3 linked regions of the Caenorhabditis elegans genome follow. The protein of the gene in region 1 purifies or fractionates together with the protein of each later gene. This does not show direct contact. Each region holds a gene or a part of one and is shown in the gene's direction. Other genes may lie near its edges. The genes, in order: rpia-1, F08F8.7 and fah-1.

The links.
Region 2: the proteins of rpia-1 (region 1) and F08F8.7 fractionate together in Caenorhabditis elegans (co-fractionation; one large-scale study listed by BioGRID). This does not show direct contact.
Region 3: the proteins of rpia-1 (region 1) and fah-1 fractionate together in Caenorhabditis elegans (co-fractionation; one large-scale study listed by BioGRID). This does not show direct contact.

The regions. Positions count from the first base shown.
Region 1 is NC_003281.10:7,121,449-7,124,929, forward strand, and holds rpia-1 (Probable-ribose 5-phosphate isomerase), read left to right. Parts: upstream 1-1,679; 5' UTR 1,680-1,736; coding exon 1,737-1,796; intron 1,797-1,843; coding exon 1,844-1,996; intron 1,997-2,043; coding exon 2,044-2,286; intron 2,287-2,410; coding exon 2,411-2,710; 3' UTR 2,711-2,887; downstream 2,888-3,481. Other genes in the region: B0280.9 (U3 small nucleolar RNA-associated protein 18 homolog), read right to left, coding at 140-272, 320-413, 471-571, 623-803, 852-1,060, 1,107-1,182, 1,288-1,443; B0280.2 (uncharacterized protein), read left to right, coding at 3,239-3,319, 3,406-3,481.
Region 2 is NC_003281.10:7,345,441-7,349,196, reverse strand, and holds F08F8.7 (Ribulose-phosphate 3-epimerase), read left to right. Parts: upstream 1-2,047; 5' UTR 2,048-2,054; coding exon 2,055-2,152; intron 2,153-2,551; coding exon 2,552-2,851; intron 2,852-2,903; coding exon 2,904-2,991; intron 2,992-3,040; coding exon 3,041-3,238; 3' UTR 3,239-3,342; downstream 3,343-3,756. Other genes in the region: gos-28 (Golgi SNAP receptor complex member 1), read left to right, coding at 33-135, 506-615, 659-807, 854-938, 990-1,122, 1,472-1,596; F08F8.6 (uncharacterized protein), read right to left, coding at 3,373-3,417, 3,468-3,734.
Region 3 is NC_003284.9:6,447,200-6,450,955, reverse strand, and holds the start of fah-1 (Fumarylacetoacetase), read left to right. Parts: upstream 1-2,039; 5' UTR 2,040-2,047; coding exon 2,048-2,131; intron 2,132-2,183; coding exon 2,184-2,410; intron 2,411-2,903; coding exon 2,904-3,148; intron 3,149-3,194; coding exon 3,195-3,350; intron 3,351-3,475; coding exon 3,476-3,729; intron 3,730-3,756. Other genes in the region: grl-6 (Ground-like domain-containing protein), read left to right, coding at 17-46, 95-252, 299-527, 572-694, 738-920. UniProt on the Caenorhabditis elegans protein: Fumarylacetoacetase involved in the tyrosine degradation pathway.

The DNA.
Region 1 (3,481 bases):
TTTTTGTTGCTAAACTGAAAATATCAACAAAAAAAAAGATGTAGCAAACTGTACAATTATATTAATATATGAATTATATGAATGAATGACAGTATCGTGATTTTACGAATTATAAAAGTTTGATTTTAAAAAAGCTTACCCAGTCGCAAAGTAATCTCCATGTTGGCTGATGGCGAGTGTTGTTCCGTGCACAGCTCCATCGTCGGTGAATGTATGTTGCGATGATTTGGTTCCCGGCAATCCAATGTTTGCGATCACAATTTGGCCGGTCTCTAGAAATTTCGAATAATTTTTGAATTTTTGGCAATATAAAACCAACCGCAGATGATCCAAATTTCACGGCTGTGCGATGGGAAAAACTTGATTTCTGACGCATTTGCTGGGAGTGATATTGTTGTGATATGCTCCATCGACTGAAACATTTTACATTTAAACTTTTAATTTGCCAATAATTTAATTTTTTGACATACAGTAGCATGGAGAACATAGATGTGAGAATTGTGTCCTGCAATTGCCAAAAATTGAGAGTCATGCGAAATGGCAAAGAGCCGAATTCCTTGCTTTGGTACTGCTGTAAAATGTTCAAAGTTTTGCTTCAAATTTTATTAAATATTAAACGTACTGTTTGGAGGTTTCAACTGTGTCACTTCTCTTGTTTCCATATTGTACTGCATCAAATATTCCTTTCGGCTTGAAGAACAGATCACAGAGTGTCCTTTATCAGCAATTTCCAGACTATCAATCGGGAATTTTGAGAAATTCGCACTTTGAAGGAAACGATCCTTTTTAACCTCACGACTTACCTGAAATAAGTAAGGAATGGTTTAATTAAAACAGAAAACACAACTTACTTTAAAAAGTTGAACATTTCCACCTTGATCGGCAACAATGAGCACTGGTCGGGTTTTATGAAATTTAACAACAGTGATTCCACGAGTGTATCGGTGTCCGATGTTGAAATCTTTTATAAGAGTTGTATGAATAGTTGTTTTTGGTAAATTCACGTCTTTCGCCAAATATCCGGCAGCAGTTTTCAACAATGACCCTTCTTCTTCGTCTCCTAAAATTGTAAAATACGATTTTTGAACTATTGATTTTCCAAAAACCTGCAGCAGCCTTAGCCCATTTTGGTGTGCCTCCGTGGCGTTTTCTGAACGCCTCTTGCAATCTACCAACGTATTCCTAAAATATTAAAATTATTTTTCAGAAGTAATTTATCCTTCTGCCTATTTTCAATTATATAATCTTTATTACACGTTGAATAACGTATTTCTAAAAAAAATTTACCTTTGAATCCAATTCTCCATGTTCTTCGTCTGTGGTTCGCTTGAGTTCAACTCGCATTGTCATTTTCACTTTTTTTGGAACCGCCACAACCATATTATCGTCGTCCTCATCGTGCCACGCAGGCTTTTCAGACTCAATCACTGGCCGTTTGCTCATTTCTCTGAAAATTGTTCAAAATAACCTTAATGAAAGATTCAATAAGCTGAAAATTAAAGAAAATTCGGAAAAGAAAAAAGAAAAATGAGAAGCAATTGTCGTCAAATAGTGTGTGTTATCGTAGTTTTAGTGCAAACACCGTCACGTCTCAATGCAGAATTTCATTAATTTCAGTATTTCAGCTGAAAATTTCAGTCTTTCTTATCAATTTACTATTGTTTTCGTTTTCTTTTCAGCATTTTTGTATGTTTTCTACAAAATTTCCATTATCAGGAGTATTGCGAACCGCCAGAATGGTCACCTCCACCGGCCCTGAAGCAGAACTGGCTCCTATTGAGCAGGCGAAGAAACGAGTAAGTCAAAAATTAAGACCAATTCCAACCCTCATTAATCATTTCAGGCTGCGTTTGCCTGCGGTGAAAAATATGTGCAAAGTGGTTGCCGTCTTGGTGTTGGATCCGGAAGCACTGTCAAGTATTTGGTAGAATATCTTAAACAAGGATTTCAGAATGGAAGTCTCAAGGATATCATCTGTGTTCCAACCAGTTTTTTGGTAAACAGATTTTCAACAAACCCAATTGTTATAAATAAGTATTTCAGACAAAACAATGGCTGATTGAGTCTGGTCTCCCTGTCTCCGATTTGGATTCACATCCAGAACTGGATGTGTGTATTGATGGAGCTGATGAAGTTGACGGACAGTTCACGTGCATCAAAGGCGGAGGTGGATGTCTGGCTCAAGAAAAAATTGTTCAAACCGCTGCAAAAAACTTTTACGTGATCGCTGATTATTTAAAAGATTCCAAACACTTGGGTGATCGCTATCCGAATGTCCCAATTGAGGTAAATTATTTAACTTTTTATAATTATCAGTAAAGAAAGATGCACTAAAGAATAAACTTTAGAACAATAGTTTTTTCTAAATAGATGTAGTTATGTTGACTGTTTTTAATGAGATTTATTGCAGGTTCTACCTCTTGCTGCTCAACCACTTCTACGTTCGATTCCACGCGCTGAAGGTGGAAGCTGTCAACTTCGACAAGCTGTCAAAAAGTGCGGACCAATTGTGACAGACAATGGAAACTTCATTATTGATTGGCAGTTCGAGAAAAACGTATCCGGAAGAGATTGGTTCGCGATTCAGCAACGATTGGCCAATACACCAGGAATTGTTGAAACCGGATTATTCATCGGTTGCGTCGACGCAGTATTCTTCGCGTACTCTGACGGATCTGTCAAGGAAATTGTCAATTCCAAGAAGCACTGACTACTTGCATCGAATTTTGTTCATATTGAAAATTAGTTGTTTCTTATCACCACCACACTCTCCAAACTTCACTTTTCCTCTTCCCAGTTGTTGTGAAAATTGTACCCATTCATTCCCAATGTTCCTAGTATACGTGTAGTTCTTAGAATAGCCCCAATAAAAATTGTGTTGAAAAAACGTCTTTCTTAAAAAACTGAAAAAAAAATTAGAAAACTCTGAAAACGTTTTGAAATGTAAAGTGTCTGGATGTAAAGTGTCTGAAACTGTTTAATTTCAAATTACAGTAGTCTTGAAGTGTATGAATGGCGAGGATAGCTTAAAGATTGAAAGAAATGAGAATTTGCTTCCTAAATGACTCATTGGAGGCGGTAAAATTAAGAGCGAGCAATAATTTCAAAAATACTGATAAAGTTGGGAAATAAGTAAATATTTCAAAATTTTTAACAATTGCTGTATTAAAAAGCACTTTCGTCAAATCGTATCATTCGTATTCTATTCATTCCAGATTGTTCAAATTTTAATTTCCAAATGATTACATCTGAATTGAGTGATTTCCTCGAGATCAACGAAAAAAATAGTGTTCTAAGAGGAATATCGGCAAGCGATAAGGTATGATTTTGTGCACTAAGAGATAGGCACGGTCTCTGCTTAAAGACAAATGTAGTTTCAATTCAACTAGCTTGTGCTCATTTCAGATACTTTCATCAGGTATTTGTCAACTTCTTTTTTCTGAAAATGGGCATTGGCGGATACCGAATGGGGGAACCGCTG
Region 2 (3,756 bases), 220 kb from region 1:
ACTCGAAAAAACAATACTTTCAGGAACACAGAATGTCAGAAACTTGGGAAGCGTTGCGGAAGAAAGCCCGAAGCACAGAAAATTCCATCGATGTCAAGCTCGTCTCCCTGAATAAATTAACGGCTAGCTCTCATGGTAAGTATTACCAAGAATTTTACGATTTTATCCTCAGAAAATACGATACCGGGTCTTGACACGAAACATTTTCATAAAATACAAAAAAGTGTGCGCCTTTGAAGAGTACTGCACTTTCTGAATTGTGTTGATGCGGAAGTTTCAAAAAAAATATATGTATTTATTTGAAAAACCCAAATATTATATATTCTGAAAAAAAAACTTTAAAAAAGAAAAAGAAACTAATGAAAAAACCAAAAAGGGCATTTATAAAGAACATTTTCGTGTCGAGACCGGGTACAGTATTTTTGGCGTTTGAATAACCAACTTTCGAACATGTCTCTCAGAAAAATATTTAATAAACATGTTTCCTATTGAAAAAATATTTCAGGCGGTTTTGACATCGACGAGAAAACAGTTTCCTCAAGACAAACGAGCTTCAAAACAGTGACAACAGAAATCGAAGGATTGATAGAGCAATTGACAAATATCAATGATGATGTTAGTTTATTTTCAATTTTGTTTTTAAATTCGTCAACTTCAGATGAATGACGTAGCTGGTGCTCAATCCTCGGCATCTTGGGCTAATAATCCAGCCATTCAACACACACTTCGACGACATCGAGAAATTCTTCGAGATTACGGTAGTGAGTATCGACGTGCAAGAGATAATGTTGATCAGGTATTACAGAGGTATGAAAAATACTTTTTTTAAATTAAACAATACGATATTATTCAGAGAACTCTTGTTGAGCAGTTCAAATGAAAATCGTAATAATCCTATACTGAACAACAGGGCTCGTGGATATGATATGTATTTGAAGGTATTTTTGGGAAGAATTTCAAGAAAGTAGTACTAATTAATTTAATTTCAGGAGAATGACCATATAAACGCTTGTGATCGATTGTTAGATGAACAGTTAGAAATGGCAATGTCAACGAAAGAGAATATGGCCAGACAGGGAATTAATCTACGTGGAATATCAACTCGGCTTCATCATATTTCAAGTAATTTATCTTTAAAAGGGAAACAATTAAAGTAAATCTAAGTATTTATGAACATTTCTGATAAAAATGTTCCTGAAACACCCGATCTTTTTTGAAATCGTCAATCTAGATTAATTTAGACCTAATAAACTTGAGTTCAAATTTCTTGCAATACAGTTTTTTGACAAAAAATCTTTAAAAAAAAACAACAAAAAATTTATTTGAAATTTGGACCGAAAAACAAAAGTTAGAATTTCTCCAAAAAGCCGAAAAAATTTCAAAAAAAAATTCCTCCTTTCAACTGAGACTCAACATTTTTGAAAAACAGTTTTACAAGCTGCATAATAATTATCAAAACAACTTTTTTTAGAAAAATATCCTGCAATTAACAATTTGATGCAAAAAATCAAAACGAAAAAGCAGAAGAACACACTGATCCTTGCTGCCGTCATCTCATCGTGCCTTATTTTTACAATTTTCTGGATTATCAATTAATCAGTTTCAAATATCAAAAAAAAACTCAAAAACTTTTTCGAACTCCGATTTTCGTATTTTTCGAAGAAATTTAACAATCGGCAGTCGTAACTTTTTATCAAGTTTTCGAGTTGTTATTACTTTGTGTCAATGAAAAATAGAAACTGAATGATAAGAATAATCGATTTTTGTACTATTCCCTTGTCCCTTCATACAACGCACACCACTTTCATTGTGATATTCCTCACCGTTTTTCTAATTTTTACTTGTAAATAATTTTCTCGTTTTGTAATCTTTCGAGTATAATGGAGTTCTTGGCTTTTTCGTTTTTTTCTCGATGTGAAACAATTGGGTATACATATTTATGAATTAAAGTATTATTTAAAGATTTTTTTGAAAGTTTACAGTTGAAAGTTTAATTCTATAACTTTATTTGTTCATTGATTCTGGATGATAAAATTTATTTATCTAGAATTCAGATGACCCTCCGTCCATTTGTGTGTCCATCAATTCTGAATGCCGATCTTGCATCATTGGCTTCTGAATGCAAGAAACTTTTAGCAGCTGGAGCAGATTGGTAAGGTGATCTTTAGAAATTCTGAATAGTTTTGACAACTACTTTCATATTTAAATGTCCCTTTAGATTTCAAAAATCTAAATGGGAACGCACAAAAACCTCTTCTGAAATCAACATGGAAACGTACTCCACGGCCAATTGGAAACGCTCCGACCCCCCGAGATTACGGTCTCGTTAGGTATTTGGCCACAAAATCGCAAATTGAAATTGTTTTCATCTTCAAACACAAATTGGCAGGACTAATTGAAAACGCTTAAACTATCAATGTCAATACCTAATGAGACCCATGGTTCGAGGGGCGGAGCGTTTTCATTTAGCAGTAAGTAAGTAACGTTTCCACTTGGATTTTCAAAGGATTTACTTTCTGCGTTCCCATAGTATCCAGCTCCCAACTTGCAGGCTTCACCTCGACGTGATGGACGGTCACTTTGTACCAAACCTCACATTCGGTCACCCTGTCGTTGAATCTCTTCGTAAATCTCTTGGTGCTGAACCATTCTTCGATGTTCATTTGATGGTCTCTAATCCTGGACAGTGGGTTGAACCGATGGCAAAAGCTGGTGCCAGCCAGTTCACATTCCATTATGAGGCTGTAGATGGTGATGTGGCAGTCAGTGAATTGATCGAAAAAATCAGAAAAAGTGGAATGAAAGTGGGATTATCGGTCAAACCGGGAACTTCTGTTGAGCATATTTTGAAGTAAAATCAAAATTATATTTCAATCTAGATTTTAAATTAAAAAACTTTTTAGACATGCTAATCATTTGGATAATGCTCTTATCATGACTGTGGAACCAGGATTTGGAGGACAAAAGTTCATGGAAAACATGATGGAAAAGGTATTTATTTTGGTTTTTATTTGATACGAATAAAATTTATGGCTTTCAGGTTCGCACAATCCGTTCAAAATATCCAAATCTGACTATTCAAGTTGACGGAGGAGTAACACCTGAAAATATTGAAATCTCTGCTCAAGCTGGAGCCAATGCGATCGTGAGTGGAACTGGAATCATCAAAGCTGCAGATCAATCTGTCGCCATGACAACAATCAGAAATGCAGTTGAAGCTGCTATTTCGAAGTGCTGATTTTCTTAATTACTTGAATATTGTTTTGAATTTTGAAGCTCATTTTTTCAGAGCTTTTTGAGGTTGTGATGTTAATAGTTAGTAAATGATTGTCAATTAAAAAATTCAAAGCAGCATTTATTTATCTATAAAGTTCAGATGGGCTCTGCAGTTCCTAGCTTCGGGGTCGGAGCAGGTGTCTGAAAAAAGAGCATTACAAAACATCATGGACCATTCTTCAGTTGCTTACATTTTTAACACTTTCCTTCTCCTTGCTCGGAGTCTTCTTATCCTGATTTGATGGCAATACTCCAGTACTTCCAATTGTATCTTTACTCGGAGTCTTTCGTGGTTCGATATTTCCTGCCTCTTGGCTCATTGCAGTATTCAACGACGGCTCCTTGCTTCTTCCTCCAGCATTTGCAGTCTTTGTAGATTGCTTCGGAGTCAACATGATCTCACGAGACGGCTGCTTACGATTCGGAATTGGAGGAGGAGAACGTGGCAATGTCTTTTTCTGAAAAATTGGTTGTACTTTT
Region 3 (3,756 bases), on another chromosome or scaffold:
TCCATATTTGCGCAATATGAGTACTTTGTCGGTTGCAGTTTTCTTGGTAAGCAATGAATCATCGAATATCTCTTTTACTCATTCGGATTTTCAGATTTCATTTCATTTTGCCTTTGCTCAGTACCCATTTGGTAGAGGAGGGTGTGGAGGATGCCCGACTCCAATGTGCCAACCAAGAATGCCATGTGCTGCACCGATGCCAATGCCGATGCCAATGCCAGTCTGTCCTCCACCTCCACCATGCCCGGCTCAGTAAGTTTCAGCAATAAACCTAGAATATTCACATGCTTGTTCACAGATTCTGTCCACCACCACCAATTTGTCCTCCGCCTCCACCACCGCCAATGCCATGCCCTCCACCACCTCCACCAATGCCGAGACCATCTTGCCCGTGTATGATGCAACGACCATCGTTCTACCCATCATATGTTCCCCAGTACTATCAGCCAATGATGCCTCAGCCAATGCCAACAGCTGGAGGATGTGGAGGTGGTGCAGTTGTACCATCAGTCAGAATTCCAGCTCAGGTTGGTAGATTTTTGAAAGAACCTTTAAGAAAATATCATTTCAGAACGATTGTTGCTGTGGCTGCTCATCGCCATGCAAGTACAAAAGTGTGAGACGCGCCGCATTTGCAGCCAAAACAATCGACCCTTCGTGTAACAGTTCCGAACTGAAAAACATTATCCTTGATGTGAGTACACTCGTTTTGCACGTCAAGCCTACTCTCTTTTCAGAATATTAGCGAAGATGCAAGTGAATCAAAGAGGAACATTCAGAAAATTGCCGAAGAAACACTAGGCCATGAGGTGAACGTTATTTGTGGTACAGGAGAATTCAGTTACATAGCTCATACCGATACATTCTGCCAAGCATTTAAGGAAGATGTCACCTGTTATGCATTCAAACCATTGCAATAAACTTATTTGGTGTTTTTTTTTTGTCTGTATTTCCTGCTTTTTCTGTCCACTACTGGCTTCAATAAATTAATTTTTTGAAAGTTTTTAATTCAATTTGATTTCGTAAAAGCAAAATCCAACAAGATATAAAAAGTTTGAAACTAACACTTATACTCAACGACAGTAGAGAAAGTGTTAATTCAATAGTTCATCGCTGTTGGTGTTTGTATTTTCAAAATGTTTAACCTTAAAAAATGTTTCTTGTGTATTACAACCCTTTATTATAGAAATAAATTATTTTTATATTTTTTTGACCATTTCACTCGCCGTACCTGTTTATCAATTACCGATAATATTTAACAATACAACTCACCTTTAAGTTACAACTTTTGACCTGCTCAGCAGGCTGTGGTGATCTGAAATCTACAGGTTAAAAACCTACATCCGATTGTGAAACGTTTTCTCTACTCGAAATGGTGGTAAGAGTTTTCTAAGATACAAATTGCTAGAGACCGTTTTTCTTCTGATATAAAAAGCGTTTTAGTAGCAATTTATCTTCATGGAATTGAGATTTCTATATTATAAACATAAGCAACTCTAAAAAACACTAGTTCTCCACTCTTTAAAATCGTCATACTCCTACTTGCTTTTTATTCATGAAACAGTATCATTGCCAATGCAAACAAACAACTATAGAATAATGCCATCCAAACATTCAAGAAAAAATCATCACGTGACTGTTTCGCAATTCAATTTGCATCCAATGTAGTTTTCTCTCTCTTGTCAAAACTTATCTGATATACTCTATTGTTTTATCCAATTGACGTCACTATCATCATCTTATCTTTTCAATTAGATTTGTGAGACCTTATATAGCGGTTTCAGTGGTGCACATCTGTCATTGTCACTGTCTGTGTGCAGTCATTTTTTTTGGTTATCGTTTTGTTTTTATTGGTGGTCGTTTAGTCGTGTATCGACCTTGGCCTATGCGTGTACGACTCCTTTTTGTATTTGTCACTAGCACCCTCTCCAACCTGTATGCTATTTTCTGTTTCAACGCCGCATGCGTGTACAGTTTCGGAGACATAACAGACTGCTGTCTACTCAACTCCATTTTTCAAAACTTGTATTGCTTTGCAGGCTAAATCATGAAATCCTTCGTTTCTGTTCCTCAAAACTCGGATTTCCCAATTCAAAACTTACCGTATGGTGTTTTCTCAACAAAGGCTGACGTAAGTGTATAAATAATTATTTCTAAAGCAAAATTAAACTAAATATTTTCAGTCTTCCCGCCACATTGGAGTTGCAATTGGAGATCAAATCCTCAACTTGGCAGAAATTGCCAATCTTTTTGACGGACCTCAATTGAAGGCACATCAGGATGTTTTCAAGCAGAGCACATTGAACGCGTTCATGGCACTGCCACGTCCAGCCTGGTTGGAAGCTCGTGCAAGAATCCAACAACTGCTCTCAGAGGATTGTGCTGTTCTTAGGGATAACGCTCATTTGAGGTGAATAAGTTGGCAAAACAAATTTGAAAAAGTTAAAAAGTAGTACAAAGTGTGTCTGATAATCTACTAACCAAATCTAAACAACTATTTCACAAGTTTTAATTTTTATCGTTAGTTTATAATTGCAAAGTTGAATCAATACTGTGCAGCAAGTTGGCAAGTTGAAATGTATATAGAAGTATGTGAAAATGTTCGGTCAATCTGAAAAAAATTATTTTATTGAGAACGCCTGGAAACCCGTCAAAGTTTTTGAAATACTTCATTTGACTTTAAATATATCGTTAAACTTTGTTGGCGACTTGTAGGCATTATTTTTAAAAAAATCTATTTCAAAATCGAGAAAAACCTACATTTTTATATTAATTTTTGATTTATAAATTGAAATCTCATACTGTAATTAGAAGCTTTGTACGTTTTGCGCACAACTTACATATAACTCTGTTTAAAACAACCAAGAAACTTTGTAATAATATTCTTATGTTTTTATTTACAGAAGCCGGGCTCTTGTCGCTCAATCCGATGCTACAATGCACCTTCCAGCTCAAATCGGAGATTACACCGATTTCTACTCCTCCATCCATCACGCCACCAACGTCGGAATCATGTTCCGTGGAAAGGAAAATGCTCTGATGCCAAACTGGAAGTGGCTTCCGGTCGGATACCACGGAAGAGCTTCATCAATCGTTGTATCTGGAACAGACTTGAAAAGACCAGTTGGACAAACTAAGGCCCCAGATGGTAAGATTTAGATTTGCACCAATAATGCAAATGTGTCCGCTTTCAGCTGAGGTTCCATCGTTTGGTCCATCAAAGCTTATGGACTTTGAGCTCGAGATGGCGTTCTTTGTGGGAGGTCCAGAAAATGAATTGGGAACTCGTGTTCCAATCGAGAAGGCTGAGGATCGTATCTTTGGAGTTGTGCTCATGAACGACTGGAGTGGTGAGTAACGATGTTAATTAAATATCAAACAAAAACATTTAAACTCGACATTTTGGTGACAAGAAAATTCAACAGTAGTTATTTTCAAGTTTGCTCCATACTCATCCGAAAAAAAACTTTTCCAGCTCGCGATATCCAAGCTTGGGAATACGTTCCACTCGGCCCATTCCTTGCTAAATCCTTTGCCACAACTGTTTCTCCATGGGTCGTCTCAATTGAAGCTCTTCGTCCATACTTTGTTGAGAATCCAGTACAAGATCCAGTTCCACCAGCATATCTCCATCACGATGACCCATTTACCCTTGACATCAATTTGGCCGTCAGTATCCGTCCAGAAGGAGATGCTGTGGACCATATTGTCTGTAAAACTAACTTCAAGGTATGTTCAAGTTTAGTAGAAACGATA